Coturnix japonica: one gene and its partners. The protein of the gene in region 1 interacts with the protein of each later gene in a biochemical or structural test. Links are inferred from orthologs where the notes say so. Each region holds a gene or a part of one and is shown on either strand. Other genes may lie near its edges.

Region 1 (4,254 bases):
CCATGAGTACCCCATAGACCCCATAAGTACCCCATAGACCCCATGAGTACCCCATAGACCCCATAAGTACCCCATAGACCCCATCACTATCCCATAGACCCCATTATATCCCATAGACCCCCATTATACCCCATAGACCCCCATTATATCCCATAGACCCCCATTATACCCCATAGACCCCATAAGTACCCCATAGACCCCATTACTACCCCATAGACCCCATACCCATCCTATACACACACAATTACTACTAATTACCCATTAATTCCAACCGTTTAACCCTAATTACCCCACAATGACGCTATAATTACCCACTATTACCCCACTACCACTAATTACCCAATAATTACCCCTAGTTACGCAATAATCACCAATTAATTGCCCCTAATTACCCCTAATCACCCCCAGCTGTCATTGATCCCCACGAATTCCCCCCAATTCCCACTAAATCCCACTAATTCCCCCATTTTTACCCCCCTAATTAGCACCGATTCCCACTCATTATCTCTCAGTTCTCAGTAATTATCCCCAAATTACCCATACTCCTCACTAATTACCACCCCCATTCCCACCGATTCTCACCAATTATCTCCAATTATCACTGATTCCCATTAATTACACCCTCAATTCCCACTAATTCCCGGTAATTATCCTTAAATACCCTCAGTTGCCACCAATTACCCAATTCCAACTACTTACCCCTAATTCACCCTAATCACCCGATTCCTGCTAATTATCCCCAATTCCCATTAAATCCCACTAATTGATCCCCAGTTCCCAACAATTACACCCAATTACCCCCTATCCACACCAATTACCCCACAAAATCCCATTAATTACCCCCAGCTCCTACTAATTGCTTCAGTTACCCCCACAATTACCATCAATTACCCCCAATTCCCACTAATTTACCCCTACAGCCCCAATTCCAACCCTCATCATTCCCTCAATCCCCCAACTCCCCCCATCCCCCGTTAATTCCCACCTATTCCCCAAAGATCCTCCCAGTTTCCCACTTCCTTCCAGTCCTCCCATTCCCTCCTGATCCCCCAATTCCCAGTTGGGGTTGGATTAGGGCTGGGATGAGGGTTAGAGTTGGTGTAGGGTTTGGGCTGGAGTTGGGGATGGGGTTGACATTGGGGTTGGGGTTGGGATTATAGTTAGTGCGGGGGTGAAGTCTGGGAATGGGTTTGGAGCTGGCTTAGAGCTGTTGTTGGTGTTGAGGTTGGAGTTGGGTTGGGGATGGAGTTGACATTGGGGTTTGGGTTTGAGTCTCAGTTGGGTCTGGGTTTGGGGTAGGGTTGAACCTGGGTTTGGGTTGGGAGTGGGTTTGGGGTTGGGTTGGGGTGAGGGTTGGGTTGGAGTTGTGTTGGGGTTGGGGTTGGGGTTGGCTTTAGGGCCAAGAAGGAGAACTGTTGTCACCCTCTGATTCATAAGGAAGGAGCAATACTCAGTGTGGTCCCGTTATTGAAAACCAAATAACACCACCACAAAATCCCTCAAAAGAAGCATTTTTGCCCCAAAACACACATTTTCTTTCTCTCCTTCTTTCTCTCTTTCTTCCCCTTTTGCTCCCATTTTGCCATGACATTTCCAAGCACTGAACTGTGATCCTGTGGTCTCCTCTTTTCCTTTTGGCACCGACCAACCATGGTGGATCCCCTTCCTCCCCCCATGGCTGCAGGGCAGCGATAGCAGCTCCCGGCTGTGGTTCCTGGGTGGGTGCATCCCTGTGCTGCTAAAGGGCCAAAGTCGCTCCGAGTGTCGTTAACTAACGAGGCAGTTCTGATTAATGATTGATGGCGGGCGGGCGCTAGGACCGCTGGGACACCACATCTCTGTAACCAGAAGAGAAATCAGGAAATAACGCCCGGCTCTGCCTGCGCCCTTTGGAAATCACACAGCGCTGCAGGAGGAGTTGGTTGGTTGTCCAGGACTGTGGCTGAGTGACCCCACGGCTTCACGGCTCCAAAGCATCACAGCCCCGTATGGACACGTCTGGGGGTAAGTGAGATGGGTATGGGGTGAGATGGGTGTGGGGTGAGATGGGTATGGGGTGAGATGGGTGTGGGGTGAGATGGGTGTGGGGTGGAGGCACTGTGCTCAGTGCAGACCAGCCTGTTTGCAATGAACATCCACCAAGTGACCCTTCATAGCACCACAGGATGACTGAGGGTGGGCGCTGCACTGCAGTCCCTGGTCTGAGCAGCAACCCGTGCCCACCCGCTGCAGGGGGCGGTGGGGAAGTGGGTGGCTGTGTGCCATCAGTCCATCCTCACCTTTCTGCCCACTCACTGTGCTCGTGGCTCATGGATGTCCATGGGCTGAGTGTCCCCAAATTTGAGGACTATGGGATCTCTGTCAGCTGGGCGTCCCAGGAGCAAACTGTAGGATGAGCTGCACCCACAGGAGTGTGACTCACCATGGCTGAGTGCTGCCCCACGCCGGGCGCTGTGGGTCCACATCTGCTCCTTGTCACGGGGCTCAGCGCAGTGACGCAGAGTGATGGTGACTCACCTGCAGAAAGAGGAACGGAGCAATGGGTGTCATTGGCACTCCAAGGTGTGGAGCTCCATCCAGGACCAGATTCTCTTGCAGGGTGATGCCAGGCACAATGTCTGGGTGGGCACTGTGGGCTGTGCTGGGACAGCAGGGGAGAACGGGGACCCTGCAGATGTGAGACACCCATCAGTGACCCCATGGGGGCAGTCAGCCCCTCACTGCTGCATTGCAGCCCAGCACCCCGCGCCTCTCCCAGCCCCACGTCTCGTGGCCCTGACAGCTGTGAGCCGCAGACAGGAGATGAGAGTGCGAGTTCCTGCCAAAACCACACGGTGCTGCGATGGCCTCACGTGGCATCGGGCCCTGCTGTGCGAGGTGGGGGGTGGGGACCAGGCTGTGGCTCAGCCCCATTTCTTTATGTTTCTGTTTGGTTTCTTCTCTGCAGGTGACACTGGGAGCAGACAGCAGTCCCTGATGCGCTGACAGATGATCATGTCCAGGGTGAGCAGGGCTCACTGTCCCCTCCTGCACTGAACTGGCACAGGGATGTGACGCTGGGGCATCCACCAGGACATTGTCCCCATCCCTTGTCACCACACGGTCCTTCCAGCTGGGGCTGACCTCGGGCTGAGCATCCCGGTGACGCTGCCTTCTTCCTGCAGAAACATTGGCCTGCGGGGACGCAGTGCGTCACCAAGCACGACCACACCAAGCCCAAGGCTGGCGAGCTGGCCTTCCATAAGGGAGACGTGGTCACCATCATTGAGGCTGTGGAGGTGACCCCTGGGGCCGCAGGGCTGGCTGTGCTGCTGGGGCCGGGACCCCCTTCCTGGTGGGGTGTCCCCTTTCTGAGCCCATCCCACCCACAGGGCAGGAGTTGGTACCGTGTGCGGCACAATGAGAGCGGGCAGGAGGGGCTGCTGGCGGCCGCAGCGCTGCGGGAGCGTGTGGCCATCCGTGCTGACCCCAAACTCAGCCTGATGCCGTGAGTACCGGCGGCTCCAGGGGGTCCTTTGCCCCACAGCCCCCCAACCCCACATCCCTATTCCCAGCTGGTTCCATGGGAAGATCTCAGGGGTGGAGGCGGTGCAGGAGCTGCAGCCCCCCGAGGACGGGCTGTTCCTGGTGCGTGAGTCGGTCCGGCACCCCGGTGACTACGTGCTGTGTGTGAGCTTTGGCAAGGAGGTGATCCACTACCGTGTGCTGCACCAGGACAACACGCTGAGCATCGACAACGAGCAGTACTTCTGCAACCTCATCGACATGATCGAGGTGAGGGCCTCGCTGTGCCCTGGCTGCTGCCAAATATAACCCTGGCTCTCCCGCTTCCAGAAAGCTCTTCCTCCAGTTCTGCCTCTGCCCCAACCCACAACTGCTCCATGCCCCTGCTCTGGGAATTCCTGCTTCCAGATGGTTTCCACATTTAGACACAACTTCTGCTTTCAGATGGTCCTTTTCCCCTTTCATCTACCGCTGCTTCTGCTGCGTCTCTGCAGACAGCCCCCTCCATGTCCCCCCCTCAGTGGGGACAGGCTGCTCCATTGCTGTGTGCCCTGACTGCACCCCCTGCCCCGTCCTGCAGCACTACACGGAGCAGCAAGGAGCCCTCTGCACCAAGCTGGTGAAGCCCAAAGCCAAGAGCGGGATGAAGTCGGCCGAGGAGGAGTTGGCCAAAGGTGGGAGGGGGTGAGAGGCAGCTCTGGGGGAGGAGGTGCCTCTGGTGCCTTCTGACCCATCCATGTGCCGTGCAGC
Region 2 (3,591 bases), on another chromosome or scaffold:
TAAGGACAGGAGCAGCTGGGACGGCCACAAGGAGCAGGTTAAAACCAAAAATGGCCTCGGTCACCTCCTCCCTCCTTCCCACAAGGTCTGGCGCTGCTGGCACTGAGTACTGCAGCCTTTAAATGCAGCTTTTGTTTTCATCTGTTCCAGGTTGCTGCAGGAGGCTGGAGGCTCGCACCCATACACATCTCTCTCTCCCCCAGAAACCACACAACAAAAAAGCTCAAATTGTACAAAACTTTTCCTTGGCGGGTGAGATTTGGATCCTGGGCCCCTCTCTGCTGCCTTGAAGTTTCCATGATGCTTCCTTTGGATGAGAAACTGAGTTTTGGAAATTGTTTCTTTTGGATCAGCCTTCCCAAGGCAGTCATAAAGAATTCCCCTTCCCAGCAACATCCCTCAGCAGCTCTCTGACTGCGAGTTACCTCACATCTCAACAGCTGAAGGCTTTCTACCCAGGGAAACGAGAGCAATTCTTCCCTGCACCAGGCAATAATTACCATGTGATAACTCAGATACAACTCGCTGTGCTGTACAGTGAGTTTGACAAGTGTAAGCTTTCCGCTTTGTTTTATGGGAAGAACTGGCTGCTTCAAAAAAATGGCTTAGTTTCTTGCCAGCCTGGTCTGCACATCCCCACGGCTGCTGCTCTGGCTGTTTCACTGCCAAATTCATTCATAGAAAGGAGAGAGGAAAAAGTAAGTGCAATAAAGCAAGGAGAGCAGCAAAGGGATGTGGATTGCTGGAAGGTTGGGTAGGGTCGGGGGAGGAAGGGAGGTGTCTAGACTCAATATTACTATTGTAGAGCCTGGCATTATTTATGACATTTTCTAGGCAAGCCACAAACTGAAAATAGAAACCAGGAGACATAAAGCCACTCGTAACCCCTAAGGAATGGCTTTGCAAGCTGTGTGACAGTGGAAAAGCTGAAAAGCAAAAAGACTCGTTCGACTATCCTGGACAAAACCTCAGGCAGCACGAAAAAGAAATTTGCCCTACACGTCAGAAATGAAACTGCACAGTGGAGAAACACTGCAGACGTGGGAGCCAAAGAAAGCCAAGAGGCGGCTGAAACTCGTCCCTCCGCCAACTTCAGCTCTGTGCCCTTCTTCAGTCCTCCTCACACCATGTTTGGAAGTCAAGTGGTACACCTTACACTAACCATCCGCCCTGGATGCAGACAGCAGTCTGAGCAGACCAGCCAGAAATGGACAACAACGGGAACAGACACGCGGTATAAAACAGCTCCACGGCTGCCATGAGAGCTGCTCCGTGTTGAGCTTTTAGCCTTAGACAGCCCACTGGCATCTGCAAAAACTTCATGGTCACCATTAACGTTGGAGTATAATTATGTGTTTTCACTCGAGGTGCTGTAGACAAACCGGAGGTAATTTAGCCCAGAGCAGTTTTTGTACATCCCTCAGCCCTGCCCGCAATAGGCAGTAATGTCAGATTCCTCTTGCCAGTAATTGGATGGTAGTAGTTTCACAACCAGCTAGATAGCATACAGCGTTTTATTAGTCATAGGTGGCAGCTCATAGACTGCATTTATGACCTAAGCATTTTCATCCAAAACCAGAAAGAAGTGTAGGTAATACTGTGCACACAAACAACAGCATGCACACGTGCCAGGGAAAGAGTGAGAGCAGGAGCCAGAGTATACCCAAGCCCTGCATTAACAGTTAACAAATCTCTATACTAATTACTCATTCACATCCCCTCGACCTTGCTTGATCAGCCTAAACCTTGCCATGCAGTGATGTGGAAACACGGCTGGAAAACTTCCTTGCATGGGAATTTGATCTGTTTGGACTATTATCCTGGCAGAGTTTGCAGTGCCAGCTCCGGTCCCTTGATGCAGGTTCATGCCTACACCTCTGCCCCTCACTCTGCTGGTAGAGACACCAAGAGCCAAACCCACCTTCCTGCACTACCAAACACAGCAAACACCTTTGATGCTGGCTGGTGACAAGTGGCACAAGCCTTCTAGCCTGGCTTCACTAACACACCCTTCTCAAGCTGGAGCTAGGATTCCCCCATACCTTTTTGATAACAGGAATCACCAGGAAGCAGCTGACAGCAGCAGGAGAGTCCAAACCCTTCTGCGGGGCCTTCAGAGGACACATGCCCTGCAGCCTGTACACTGAGATCTTCTGGTCCTGTGGAAGAACACACCAAATTCAATGAATTTCCTTTGCTTCTCATGATTTTTACCCTTTGATAACTGAATCCCAAACAGTTTTTATTTGTATATTTTCCTACGCAAAGCCTGGATTTCCCTTTGTTTTCTCTGGAGGCCATTAGCCTATGGGTAGAACCTGGGGGCTGCCCTCCCCAGAACCAACTGTGACCCAAAGCCAACTAAACTCAGCACTCCAGCTGTTACAGCAGTGTATCTGAAACCAGCATTGGTAACCCCAACTCTGAACAAACCATGAATGTGTCAGGACAACTGAGATACGTTTTGTGCTCTTTAGCATTCACCCATCGGTTCAGACTAATAATACTGGAGTTACAAGGAATATGTGAACCCTGCCTCAATTTGAGTGGATAGAAAAGTCAAATACCTTATTTATCAACATGGGAAAAAGATACACACCTTCACTCCATTCCAGCTTCCATACTCCAGCCATGTGAATTCACCAACATGGATTACTTATTCTGCACACGTGGCCTCCTGCCCCTCAACCCCGAAACTGAACTTTGGGAACATTCCCATTTGTTTCATCTATGTTTTGTTTGCTTTGTGTCAAATGGTTGTGCAGAACAGGCTGACACTTAACACAGCCCTTTCTGATGGGCGGATACAGGCTCAGAGATAAGCCAGCCATGCTCTCCCACTCTTATCTTTTCAGCTGTGGTTTTCCATGGTGAACGCTGCACTTGGGTGCCCATTTCCCACCAGATTCCAAATCCCTCGGCCCTGTTTTACAACCCCACCCACAATGCATGGTTTCTTTCACTGCTCCCATTTATCACTCAGAGATAAGGATATTTCCCAGACGGAACCACTGGGTGCAGATATGCCCCAACTGGAGCAGTTTCACCTCGGGCAGCCGAGATTCCCATGACTGCTCTGAACACAAGGAGACACAACCGTGCTCTAAGTGTCAGCCAAACAGCATGCAGCACCAACACCCCATGAGGCAGCAGGTGCTCAGCTCTGTTGTCTCCAGCACTCTTAGTTCTATTGACTGAAGAGGCCATAGGTTTCCATGCCTTGCGAGGAGGAGCACTTGAGCAGGGTACAGACGGCCTTACCTCCGTAGCAGCCCAGAGTGTGTTCTGAAATTTCAGCTGGCAGCACAGCTTCATGCCGGGGCAGCTCATCCTCTCCACTTCTATGACCCCTTTTTCTGGATTCACCACCGTGTAGTTTCTGAAAAGAACAAACAATTGGCTGCAGCCAGCCTCCAACCTGTGATAGGGCACTTCTGGCTGAGCCACAGCGTGATGCAGACGGTGCTGCAGGGCTCTCCAAAGGGTTCTCATAAAGGAAAAGACATAAAGACACAGCCCAGCTCTTCCTCAGGGTGGATGTGCAATTGCTTCTGTGAAGATTTCAGCTCTGCTATCTGACTTTGCACTGAA
Region 3 (4,347 bases), on another chromosome or scaffold:
CCCGCAATGATGATTTTATTTGTTAATCCTTCGGGCAATGCGGAGCGCACAGCAGCTAATTGGGTGGATATCATTAATGCCGGCGGTCAGAGCCGCTGCTAAAGGGCCGCTGTGCAGTGATTGCTGGAGCGTTTCATCTGTGCTATACACAATTGAGTTTTGCTCCCCATGAATGAACTTCATGCCCTGCACATCACAGGGCAAGAGCTCTGCCCTGGGCTCCAGCAGTGCCCTCGGTGTCCCACAGCACTGCATTGCTCTCTGAGAGGTGTGGGCTTAGTGGCACCGGGCACAGCTGGGACCCTGCATCCACAGCCCTGTGCCATGCAGGTGCAATGCAGGTGCAATACACACACAGTGCACACACACAACAGGCTCCCCACAGACACCCACTGGTGCTCACTCTGACTTCATTGGGCAGCATTGAGGTACAGCCACCACGGCCCAGGGAGCACAGCGAGCGTTATCTGCTGCTGCAGCCACGGATGCACTTCTGTGATAACAATTTGCCATCAATAAAGAACTCGGAGAGAATACGGAAACAAACAACAGAAAGCTGAAGAAAATCAAAGTGCTGTCACTGCTGAGCTGAGCACACAGGGCTGCAGACAGCATCACCACCCACAGCATCCCTGAGCTCTGCAGCCACGAGGTGCAGGATTGGCCCCTCTGCTGCTTTGTGACCTAGTCCCAGTGCATCCCCTGGCACTGTGGGACCTCAGCACCCACAATGGGACAGCAAAGCCTCCTCCAGAGCCAGATACAGGACCCTGCTCACCAGCTGACACCGACCCAGTGCTCACATCATTGTGTCCCCACCAGCTCCTGTCCCTGCAGCTGGCTTTTCTCACCATGGCAGCAGTTCAGCCCAAACCCAGCATCCCTCTGCTCCCAGGGCAGGCTGCCAGGCCAGGGCAGGATGTAGAACACCTTTCCTGCTGTGACACAGCCTGGTAGGAATTCCCCCTTGGAAATGTGTAGGGCTGTGTTAAGGAAGCCTGGTGGAGTTACCCCAGTGCCAGCACCTCTCGGCTGGAGCATCCCACGTGCACTGCAGGGACATGGATAAATAAACCCTGTAACATCACCCAGCGCATCATTTGCAGCACCAACATCCTCCCCTCTTCCTCCACACATCGAGCAATCAGAGCTAAACTGCTCCATAAATACCTCTTTATGGACTTCAAGAGCACCGCCTGGCCCTGGCAGAGCACTCCAGTAGTGCCAGGATGGAGAGGGCTGTGATTAGGAATTTGGCTCCTGCCCTGTCTGTCCTGCTGTGACTGGGAGCAGTGAGCACAACTCATCACTGTGAGGTCTCAGGAAGGACCTGCAACATCCCAGCATAGTTCTAAACCATCCCATAAAAGCATAAACAAAGCAGTTCTTACAAGCAGCTCCCCCCACCCCAAGCTCTGTTTTAGGTGAAGGATTTTGGCTCCATAGGAGGAAACCAGCAGCCCCCATCCTGCTTTACTATGGACATCACAGCTGCACTGGGGTCATAATGAAGCACCTGCAGCTCATTAATGTGGCATAAAGGGGTTCCCAGGTGCCACACTATTTCTTTTTCCAGCTGGGTGCTGCAGGGAGGACACACAGTGAGTGGGTATGATGCACTTTGCTCTCATCAGTGGGTATTTGTTGTGCTGTGCTGCTCTTCTATCGGTGTCTGTTGCTTTTAGGGTCCAGCTTGGGTGCATCTGCATTCTGCCTTGTGCACACGGGCTGAAGGTTGCTGCTTCCCATCCCCATGTTGGCATATTGCTTGTTAGAAGTTAACATCAGATAAACTAATTTAAGCTCCTTCTGTACTGGATGTCTTGGGCTAAGTTGGCATGGTACCTAATGAAGCTGAAGCTCCATTTGTTGTGCTGGAAGCCCTAAATATCAGTGGTGTAATTGGAAATCCCTCCTTAAGGAGATGTTTGCGTGCTTTTCTCTCAGCTGAGGGCCCTGCAAGGGCTGAACCCACAGCCTGGGGGTGATGGGGGAAGCAGTGGGGGGTTCTACAGGATGTGTGCCCCCAATGTGGGGCTGTGGGTCAGGATACAACTCTGTGGCTCTGAGCTTCTGTGGATCCCTGCAAACCTGTGTGCTACGTGTGTGCTGTTGGTGGTTGCTGGCTGCATGGGGATAGCTGTGATGCTGCTGTTGGGCTCGATATGGAGATTTGCTTGCAATCCTCCCTTCAAGGTGATGCTGATGCTCCAGCTGTGGTGCACCCTGACCCACCTTGAGGAAGTTGTTGCTTCAAAGCAATGGAGAATGATCCCAAACCCTTCCTTACCCCCAACAGCAGCTCCCAGGGGCTGGGATATGGTAGTGTGAGCCTGGAGAAGGGGTTGTGCTCTGGAGCATGGGGTTGCCACGGGTGCAACAACACAACAGTGCTGCAGAGCCTCCTGCTCACATGCACAGGGAACCACTTGTGATGGTGTCACATCTCCAAAGCACCACGCTCCCGTTTCTCTGCCTCCATCACAAGGGCTGCTCCCCAGCCCGGCTTCTCCAAACCCCGCATTCCAGCTCAGGGCTGCAGGCAGCAGGGAGGCAGCTCATACTGCCCATATGCTCCATAACATTAGAGCAGGAGCTGCTCTTCCCGGGAAGCTCGCGCCTCACCATCTGCTGTACCGTGGTACCTCCTCTTGCAGAGCTTTTTTAAGCTCCAACTTTCCTTCCCAAGCGCTCTGATTGCGCATAGGGCTGTCTGTGCTCCGTGATCATGGGTTTGTCTGTACCTTCAGTGCTGAGTAGAACAGCCCAGACAGGCTGTAGGCAGCCGGGCCCTCAGGAGCTGTGCTGCTGCTTCAAAAGAACCTGGATTGGAGGCAGGGCTGCGTCCCACCACCGCCTTGCCTTGCTCTGCTGGTGCAACTCCCAAACATGGGATCCAAGGTGCTACAGACCAAACCGTAGCCGATCCCGTTTCCTTTTCCCCATGCAAAGAGCTGATTTATCACCACGTTGCCTGTGTAAGAGGCCGAAAGCCAAACCTTGCTTCTGGCTCATGTGCTTGCCAGATGTGGGAAGGGGAAATGAGGCAACAGCTGTGCTGGGCTCTTGGGAGCTCCCTGGGAACAGCGATGGTTGGAGCTGCTCTGAGGGTGCAGGGGTGCAGCACAGCTGTCCCAAGTCCAGAGCAAGTGAGGTCACTTAAAGCTGGTTGTAATACGTGGGTGTATGTCATGCCCCTGTACCAGCAGGGCCGAGGGGGAGGCTTGCAGCACTAATGAGAATGCAGAGAACACACCCGGGCTGAGCAGTGTGCAGACTGATGGTGCCAAGACACTTCAGCTATCTTTGCTGTTTGTTTATGTGAAGCTCTAAATAAAGCCGACAGCCCCAGCGGCTGCTGGAGAGCGAGTTGGAGCTGATGCCTGTGGTGGTCCCAGCGTGGCTATGGCTGCTGCCCTTGGGTTGTGTCCTGTGCTGGGTGCTGCTCAGCTCCTGCCTGCAGGACAGTTTGCCATCCCTGAGTGAGTAGAGCACTGGGAGCTGCCAGTGATGCCCAGGTGTAGGGAGTGTGGCTGAGTGTAGTGCTGGGCATCAGGATGGTTCCTGGCCTTGAAGTGCCATGGGGAGGAACTGCAGCAGGAGCTGATAGTGGAGGATGTGTCTCCCCTGGGAGAGCCTGTATTGGAGCAGCAGGGATGTGCATCCCATGGGTGCTTTCTCCCTCAGCTCTATTTCTCATGGTGGTCACCTTGTCCTCATGCTATCACCGCTTTAGGCTCCCATCCTCTATGGTGGATGCTCCTGCTAAGCCTGTTGGGTGAGGGGACACACCAGGGATGTCTGTCTCATGAACTGGTGCAGGGATGGGATATAAGGACTTCTCCAACCTGCTCTGGGGTCCTCTCTTTGCTCAGTCTGACCCTGATAGACATGGAGTCTCCAAATCAGCCACTCATGCTTCTGCCATGAGCCCTCCTGGCTTGGCTGCCGGCACTGCGAGCTCTCTCGGATGGCACTAAACACCCACTGCATTTAGGAGCACTGTGTATCCCCACCACCTCCGTGCTTTCCCCGGTAACCCCACCGTAACAGCACCGGGCTTTGTGCCACGCTGTGAGCTGCCCGTGGCCATCGGAGCAGCTCCAGCCACCGCATCCCACCCCGTGCGGGCGCTGCAGCAGCTGCCCCATCCTCACCCGCATCCTTCCGTGGGGGGGGGGGCTCCCTCCGGCCCACCTTAAGAAGGCAGCTGCCGGTGTCCCGGGGGGAGCTCCCACCCACGACTTTGCCAGGAGCCAGGCGGTGCCGGGCTGCGGGGAGCCCCGCCGCTACCGGGGCCGCTCTCGGTGTCAGGGCAACGGAGGCGGCGCTGCGGAGGGGCGGTGC

The links.
Region 2: the proteins of MATK (region 1) and LRRK1 form a complex in vitro, tested with the Homo sapiens proteins (2 studies listed by BioGRID and IntAct, with this or other methods). The link is inferred for Coturnix japonica from reciprocal best matches to the Homo sapiens genes MATK and LRRK1.
Region 3: the proteins of MATK (region 1) and tyrosine-protein phosphatase non-receptor type substrate 1-like form a complex in vitro, tested with the Homo sapiens proteins (3 studies listed by BioGRID, with this or other methods). The link is inferred for Coturnix japonica from reciprocal best matches to the Homo sapiens genes MATK and SIRPA.

The regions. Positions count from the first base shown.
Region 1 is NC_029543.1:406,767-411,020, forward strand, and holds the start of MATK (megakaryocyte-associated tyrosine-protein kinase), read left to right. Parts: upstream 1-1,444; 5' UTR 1,445-2,004; intron 2,005-2,947; 5' UTR 2,948-2,988; coding exon 2,989-3,003; intron 3,004-3,164; coding exon 3,165-3,278; intron 3,279-3,371; coding exon 3,372-3,487; intron 3,488-3,554; coding exon 3,555-3,774; intron 3,775-4,084; coding exon 4,085-4,178; intron 4,179-4,253; coding exon 4,254-4,254.
Region 2 is NC_029525.1:15,890,655-15,894,245, reverse strand, and holds part of LRRK1 (leucine-rich repeat serine/threonine-protein kinase 1), read right to left. Parts: intron 3,380-3,591; coding exon 3,262-3,379; intron 2,160-3,261; coding exon 2,043-2,159; intron 1-2,042.
Region 3 is NC_029535.1:9,231,886-9,236,232, forward strand, and holds the start of tyrosine-protein phosphatase non-receptor type substrate 1-like, read left to right. Parts: upstream 1-1,522; 5' UTR 1,523-1,609; intron 1,610-4,072; exon of another isoform or gene 4,073-4,347. UniProt on the Homo sapiens protein: Immunoglobulin-like cell surface receptor for CD47. Acts as docking protein and induces translocation of PTPN6, PTPN11 and other binding partners from the cytosol to the plasma membrane.